Tribolium castaneum: one gene and its partner. The protein of the gene in region 2 interacts with the protein of the main gene of each other region in a pairwise test. Links are inferred from orthologs where the notes say so. Each region holds a gene or a part of one and is shown on either strand. Other genes may lie near its edges.

Region 1 (4,233 bases), on a different chromosome or scaffold from region 2:
TCACGCACTAAGAAAACACCACCTCCCCGTTCTGCCATGAGCAAATCGGTAGCTTCTTTCCTGCTAATTGGACCAAAGTACCAGCTAAAAACAACCACCTTTAAATTTCTAACGTTAATACGATAAAAACATACCTGTCCTTATCTTCATGATCAAATGTACTAGCCATTTTCTATGGTTTGCACTATTTTTTAATACCACTTGATAATATAATAGCAACGGTTAAGCATTTTCTGAAGGTACTCCAACTTGTAATAAATAAAGACATTTACATACCTATGTACAGTCCAATATTGTTTAACGCTATTATTAATTGGCGTATTTTAACCTAATTTTTTTTCTCATATTATATTATGCATTTATGAGTCTTCTTCAAGCGACACATATTGCTGCAGTTTTTAAATGGCCTCAAATTCCGGTTAAATTACCCCAAACTTGCACCTTCACCCCTGTTTATTAAACAGACATGTCCCTACACTCTTATCAGCGGCTGCACCACACAATTGTTAAAATTTATCGCATGATACTACCGTGGTCCGTGGTATACAGTCGATCTCGGAGCAGCCAACACCAGCAGCGCCAGATATGGCCGACTGACCTGGCCTGCCTCCAAGCCTTAGGCCACAAAATATAAAAACTAACGAGAAATTCCCTTTCTAAAAATTTGGATTTCAAACACAAACGCATACAAATGGCCTTATTTCCGATACCGATTTATACCAGACTTTTCCATTGACACTACTGACAGATGCGTCTTTTGTCAAAATGACATATCGGTTCGAAATTGACAATGATAATGATAATGACAACCAAGCCACTACCAAGCCCTCTGAAATTATTTTATTATTTATTTATTTTTATTATTTTTATCGAATTTTCATTCAAAACGATTTTATAAATGAACTTATTTTAAATGTATTGAAGATGCGTCTACAAAAGGCCGTCATATTTTATTTTGTAAGTCTAAAATAATATTAAATTTTATTTTTAACACATTTATCTTACTACCTATGTACTTATCACCCTGTTGTGGGTTTGTAATCAACTAATGATTAATGAAAAATAAACAAAACAGATCAGGTATGTCGAACACGTTTGTAAGAAAAATAAGCACGTTTTTTATGGCAAGAGCATGCAAATTCACTATTTAACTTATCTACAAATATTTGTTCCTAAAATTGTATATTGAGTGAACTGTATAGTCGTTTTGATTAGAAGTTTTTTCTTCTTCTTCAGAAGGTGTTTGCCAGTTTTTGCTTAACCATATTAATCTAATTTTAAAAATCCACATTATTCAATCTATTACATTATATACAACAATAAAAATTCTTTTAAAAGGGCGCCAGTTTTCAAGGTTCGCTCTGGAGAATTTTCTTCTTCCCCGTTGGTAGTTTCGTTCTTGTGCCAACTTTACACTGACGCTAGTTAGAAATAATTTATACACAAAAGTCCTTTTTTCCGTTGTTTGGTTTATGATTAACAAAAAGTCTTATTCAATTATTTTGGATGTACAGTAAGGTTGTCATTTGATAAGATAAAGTTGAGTATTGATAAGAAAAGTGACATTACAAGTAGTGGGAGTGGTTCAATTTGATGTTTTGTTAGTATGGCTACTCTGGAGTGAGGTAGAGGTATGTAATTTTTTCAGTCATGAACTAATGACTGTTCAGTGGTGATTCATCGTCACAGTTTATTGCAGTTGAGTGTCTGGAATTTTTACTTAAAGTAAAATCTCTGTGTGTGATAGGAGGGAAGAATCTTGGGAAAAATAGGTAGGTAATTTTAAATTTTTTCAAGTGGTATTATTTTATAGCAAAGCGTAAACAGAGAACACCTAATAAACTTAACAAAAGGAATTGGATAAGCAATTAAGACATAAATCTCATTACTCATCTGTTTTTAATAATTTCTCTCGATTTCTCGATTGCTTTTAAATATTAATGAAAATAAAAAATGTGACTTTATTTAAAATTTATAATTCGCTACGCTACATAGGTGTCTCAATATTAAAAAAAAAACACTAAAACCAAGAGTAAAAATTTATTAAAACCGTTTTAACTTTAATCTAGTTTTTTTGGAACTTTTTTTTTCTGTGGTTGTAGATCTGGCATAATGAATGATCATTTTGGGTTAAAGTGGGACCCGAAGAATTTAGAAATAAGGACAATGTCAGTTGAAAAGACATTGGAGCCTTTGGTTTTACAAGTCACGACTCTTGTAAATACCAAAGGCCCCAGCAAAAAGAAAAAGGGCAAGTCGAAGAGAGCTAACGCTCTTGTCAGCACCGTGGAGAAGGCCACGGAGAATTTTATCGAAAAAGGCGAACAAATCGCTTACGAAAACCCCGACATAACCCAAGAAATGCTCTCTGCTGTTGAGGAAGTTCGCAAAACCGGTAACGCGATGAGTATCGCCGCTCGTGAATTCTCTGAAGACCCTTGTTCCTCCCTGAAACGGGGCAATATGGTGCGTGCTGCACGAAATCTTCTTTCCGCTGTAACCCGTCTTTTGATTTTGGCTGACATGGTCGATGTTCATCTCTTGCTCAAATCGCTTCACGTCGTCGAGAACGATATCGAAAAACTGAAAAATGCGTCAAGTCAAGGCGAACTTTTAGATAATATCAAGGCCTTTGGCCAGAATGCCAACGAACTGATGAATCAGGCAGCTAAGCGCCAACAGGAGTTGAAGGATCCTCAGCTGAGAGATGATTTAGCTGCTGCTCGTGCTGTACTTAAGAAACATTCCACTATGTTACTGACAGCTTCAAAAGTCTACGTCCGTCATCCGGAGTTGGCAGCTGCGAAAGCTAACCGTGATTATGTGCTGAAGCAAGTTTGTGAAGCTGTTAATACGATCAATGACGTCGCTCAAGGAAGGACACCGCAGCCGGCTACAGGCCCATACGATGGTCCTGGAGAATTAGCTGCAGCTCTGGATGACTTTGACGATCATATGGTTATGGAGCCGTTGGCTTACAACGAGGTTCACACGAGACCGTCTCTGGAGGAACGTTTGGAGAGTATCATTAGTGGTGCAGCTCTTATGGCCGACTCCAGCTGCACCCGAGACGAAAGAAGGGAACGCATAGTTGCCGAATGTAATGCTGTCCGTCAAGCACTTCAGGACTTGCTTTCTGAGTACATGTCAAACATCGGCAATAAGGAAAAGAGCGAAAGTTTGAATCGAGCCATCGACAATATGGGCCGCAAAACTCGCGATCTGAGACGGCAGTTGCGCAAAGCTGTCGTCGACCACGTTTCTGACAGTTTTCTCGAAACAAACGTTCCTCTCTTGGTTTTGATCAAAGCCGCTCAAAATGGTAACGAGAAGGAAGTCGAGGAGTTTGCCGTTATGTTCACTGAACACTCGAATAAGCTCGTCGAAGTTGCCAACTTGGTGTGCAGTATGTCAAATAACGAGGACGGTGTCAAAATGGTTCGCTACGCAGCGGCACAGATTGACAACCTCTGTCCGGAAGTAATCAACGCTGCTAGGATTCTAGCAGCGCGACCACGTAGCAAAGTTGCTCAAGAAAACATGGACGCTTTTAAACAATCATGGGAGAATCAAGTCCGGATTTTGACTGAAGCAGTTGACGATATTACAACAATTGATGACTTTTTGGCTGTATCGGAAAATCATATTCTAGAAGATGTAAATAAGTGTGTGTTGGCGTTGCAAGAAGGCGATGCCGATACCTTGGACAGAACTGCAGGAGGTATTAGAGGGCGCTCAAATCGTGTCTGTAATGTTGTCACTGCTGAAATGGATAATTATGAACCTTGTATTTACACTAAGCGCGTTTTGGAAGCCGTTAAAGTATTAAACGATCAAGTGATGCCCAAATTTAGTCAAAGGGTCCAAGTTGCCGTTCAAGCTTTGTCTAGCGTTCCCACCAAAGAGGTTGACGAGAATGATTTTATTGACGCATCACGATTGGTGTACGATGGAGTGCGTGAAATTAGAAGAGCCGTCCTGATGAATAGAGTAAGATGAAAACAAAAAACGTGTTATCAAGACTTGTTACAATTTGTTATAGGCTGATGAAGATTTGGACCCCGAAGATGTAGAATTGGATGAAAATTATACATTAGAAACCCGTAGCAAATGTACGTTATAGTTTTTTTTATTATTTTAAAGAATTCATTTTTATCTTTTTGTAGCGAGTGCTCACACTGGCGAACATGGTGTGGATGAATATCCTGACATCAGTGGTATTACCACGGCTAG
Region 2 (3,982 bases):
ATGGTCATGCTGTTGCGTATGTTGGTACCCAGATTTTTATCATGGGTGGTGTCACAACCATTTATATGAGATGTCTATCCAACATTGAGTGTTTTTGTTGGAAGCGAGGTAAGTGAAAACTAAATGAGAAAGTGGGTGTCAGTTTATGAGGGAAAATCATAAAAAGCTGGTTACTCGGGAGAAATAATATACCTCAAGAGCTTGTCTGTTCTCTCTTATTTCACTTCATGAATTTTTAAATGAAATTGGAGAATAACTCGGAATAAAGAATTTATGAATTACAATACCTAAAAAGGCAGAAAATAATTAACTTGAGAGCTTAAATTATGGAAAACACCCGATAGCAAGAACAGACTTGTGTGGGCGCAAGAAATAATTTGTCGTCGTGTACAGAATCCAACAAAGTTGGGAGTAATTCTGATTTAAGATAATATAATTCAGAGTCGAGCGTTTTGTCACACCATTTCCATACTTAACTTTCTAAAACTCATTCCAAGTCGTAAGTTTATTATTCACGTTTTTCACATATGAATGCAAATGCGGGGACTTTCATACAAAAGCGTGCAAAGTTTTTAAAAATCTCCACATTCTCAATGAAACAAACAACTTCTATTTTCCCCATTTACAGTGCGCCAAGTTTGCGTTGGCTTAATCCAAAATCCATACTACATTATGTAAACTTTGTTTTCGTCTCACATTACCCAAACAAAGCTTAATACCGCTTCCGTAGTGAATAAATTATTAAGCTTCATAGTCTAGCCTGATAAAATGGCAACGTCGCACTGTGTGAAAAGAAAATTGCAACAGTGTTAATTTTTTAGGTGCTTGGATAAGGGGCATTGCCGATTTACCGGTGACCTTATCAGGTCACGCTGCTATCACTCTTCCTCCCGCCATGCTAATTTCAAACGAATAAGTGATAAAAACAGGAAACAATATTTGATGAATTAAAGATTCCTGTCGTGGGCGTTGAATGAGTGCGGCATCTGATTGGGAGATGGCGCCGCGCTACTTGAAGTACTTTTACACCATAACCATAGTTTAGCTTTAGAAATTATAAATTTAGCGTTTTTTTATACTCTAATGTTGTATTTAAAAATGTTATACACGACCGTACATTTGCTGCTTTTTTGATACATGAAATAAAGATTTTTACCTTAAAATCAATGATTTTTCCCTTTGACATTTCAGCATCTTGTAAACAGGTCTGCCAGCCAATCTGATATTTGTGATTGGGTGCGGTGTTGTTGTGTTCGTTATCGTATATTATCGTAATTTAAAGGGAAAAAGTGATTTTGTGGCGCAAGGTAAGTTATTTCGGTGTAAAATTATCAATTTCATTCATTTGTAAGTGTGAGAGTGAGTTTTTTGTGTGGTTTGGCCAAGTTTTAAAAATGTCGATGAACTGTGTATGACAACATGGATCTCTTTGTGAGTGGGTGATTCTGATTCTGATTTAGTCCGATGTCTGATCGGTTTGTGATTGCAATCTTTGGAAATTGTGATCGTTACACAAACGAAGCGTCTGGTGTTTAATTAAATGTTTCGGTTTGAAAGCACGTAACGATTCCTCATCCGGCAATTCCTTGTCACTGCTCGAAATTCCAATGAGATTGGTCATGAGATTCAGAGAATTCCATGTTTCAGGTGTGGTGTGGTAATTCGCCATGAGTTACTTACAGTCCAACCCGAATAGACCCAGTAAGTTGCATTCTTGTATTTTAATTGTTTGGTGTTAATTAATTATAATCAGTGTGTGAAGGTTTCGTAAACACTTATTGAGAGAGGTTTCCAGTTTGATAAACATCCTTCAAATGTAAGTTTATTCGGTTACAGTCAAAGGTTACAATGAGAATTCCCTTTAAAAACCATTCCAGATGGTGTGTTTATAATTGGATTGTTAGAAGAAGTTTATTTCCTCTGCAATAATTCATTGTTTGATTATTTTCCACTTTTTCTTGTGGAGGTTTCGGTATCTATGACCCCAGTTGTGACTAAGAGCCTATTATTCATACAAATCATACATTCTCATAAAAAAATTAAGAAAAAATTTGTGTATAATACATGGGCTTTCTTTACTCGTTCTAGAGAAATAATCTTTAAGGAAGTACCATACTATTATATTTTATTACAATTTAATAAGCATATTTATTCCATTATTAGTTAGTACAAGATCTTCTCTTACATAGAAATAAAGAGTTCTTAGAGTATATTCAACATTTAGCAAGTATTTGACCCTTTTTTTGACTAGATATCAGTCTAATAAGCCTACAGAACATGATTGTATGAAAATATTGGAGTCGTTTTCCTAAAGTGAAAACTTTTTCTGTGTATTTGGTGATCTTTCCGAAAGTAATTTTGCTGCTATCTCGTATTTTTAGTATCTTTTATTTACATGTATTCGTTCTCCTGAGTAACTTTTTAACCATATATTAGATACGTGGTTAGTATTGGTATGATTCAATGTTTAAATAAAATACAGATATGTTGATAACGATAAGCAATATACCTGAGTAACGGTTTTGTACGCTAACATTGAAAGAAGCAAGTGTTTAACTGTTTAAATTGCAATTGAATTTTCTTACTAACTCTACAAAGTAGGTACAATTTATTTTTGAATTATTACTTATTTGGTTACAGTAGCATAGTTTATTTTAGTTTATTCTTATATTCTAGTTTATTCCTATGAAGTTACAAAATTGATTTATCGTGTATGCCAAAAGTTGCGGACAGGCACTTACGGCTGAACTATCCGAAGAGGAACTGTTCAAGCAAACGCGTAAACGCAAAATTTGTAAGTTCAAATTGCTTGAAAAAAATATGTTAACTTTCTGAGAACTTTAGCAACAATATACATCCATTTGAAAAAAATTGTTAGTATCATTTAAAAATAAAATGAAAAAACCTCAATTTTTAGTCATTTTATTTTTTTAATAAAAAATGGTACTATATTTTTTGATAATTTTTTTTGTGGGTATTTTATGACTTACTTGTAATACTGTATTTTTTCATACTATTTGAACTTTAGGTTTTTCCATAAAAGCATTAAGATTATTACGCTGTTTACCCCGTTATAACTTGGTTACAAATATTTAAATCGAGATAAGAACTGGTCCATGAGTAATATGTTAACCTAGGAACAACATCCAATTGTAAAAAAAAACAATTTTGTTTATTATTTTTCTTAAAAAAATTTCTCAAATTAGTGCATTCGCACGGCCACGTGGACCGTGAGTCCAGTATAGTTCAACCTTAAGAGCTATACAAAAATAAAATTAAATAAAAAGCGATACAAAAATTCACAAAACCTTTCGTTTTGTAAACAAAAGTTGAAATAAAAAACAAAAAGTGACAACGTCGTAAGAGAATACTTTATTGTTACTTATTTAGAAAAATTGTAACCAAAAGTATTATCATAGTAATATTTGTTATTGACTGCACCTTTAAAATTGTGTTTTTAACTCATTTCAAAAACCAAGTGAAATGTTTTCTTACAATTTTTTTGAAAAAAGTTGGATAATAAATCAAGTAAACATTAAAATATACCATTTTTTGTTAGTAACAATTTTACGCCTTCTTTTTAACATTTGAATTCTAGATTACACTATTTTAAAACACGCTTTCTAAAGCAACGTGTTTTAAATTAAAATGTTCCAACAAAAAAATTGAATAACTTTGGCAGCTGTTTGGAAATAAACGGCCAAGTTTTATAGTTATTAATAATACGAGTACAAAAACACAAGCTTAATGTTCTCTGGTGTTTAGGTATGCAACTCGCATACGCTCGTTGCATAACGACAGCTCTCGAACATTAAGCTTGTGTTTTTGTACTCGTATTATTAATAACTATAAAACTTCATTTTGTTCATTTCCAAACTGCTACAAAACATTTAAAAAATCCCATGCTACTTTGTCTGAGTGAAAAAAAAATCAACCACACTCAGGGATTATCAAGTAAAATAACTAAAAAAAGATTAGGAAA

The links. The genes of interacting proteins can lie anywhere in the genome.
Region 1: the proteins of armadillo segment polarity protein (region 2) and alpha-Cat interact in binary tests that used the Drosophila melanogaster proteins (3 or more experiments, as listed by UniProt). The link is inferred for Tribolium castaneum from reciprocal best matches to the Drosophila melanogaster genes arm and alpha-Cat.

The regions. Positions count from the first base shown.
Region 1 is NC_087403.1:7,328,176-7,332,408, reverse strand, and holds the start of alpha-Cat (catenin alpha), read left to right. Parts: upstream 1-1,372; 5' UTR 1,373-1,631; intron 1,632-1,699; 5' UTR 1,700-1,772; intron 1,773-2,102; 5' UTR 2,103-2,112; coding exon 2,113-3,990; intron 3,991-4,042; coding exon 4,043-4,112; intron 4,113-4,166; coding exon 4,167-4,233. Other genes in the region: adapter molecule Crk, read right to left, coding at 1-84, 135-169. UniProt on the Drosophila melanogaster protein: Associates with the cytoplasmic domain of a variety of cadherins. The association of catenins to cadherins produces a complex which is linked to the actin filament network, and which seems to be of primary importance for cadherins cell-adhesion properties.
Region 2 is NC_087395.1:16,174,458-16,178,439, forward strand, and holds the start of armadillo segment polarity protein, read left to right. Parts: upstream 1-1,182; 5' UTR 1,183-1,307; intron 1,308-1,342; exon of another isoform or gene 1,343-1,431; intron 1,432-1,647; 5' UTR 1,648-1,667; coding exon 1,668-1,701; intron 1,702-1,753; exon of another isoform or gene 1,754-1,816; intron 1,817-2,486; exon of another isoform or gene 2,487-2,597; intron 2,598-3,982. Other genes in the region: uncharacterized protein LOC660622, read left to right, coding at 1-108, 822-916. UniProt on the Drosophila melanogaster protein: Isoform neural may associate with CadN and participate in the transmission of developmental information. Can associate with alpha-catenin.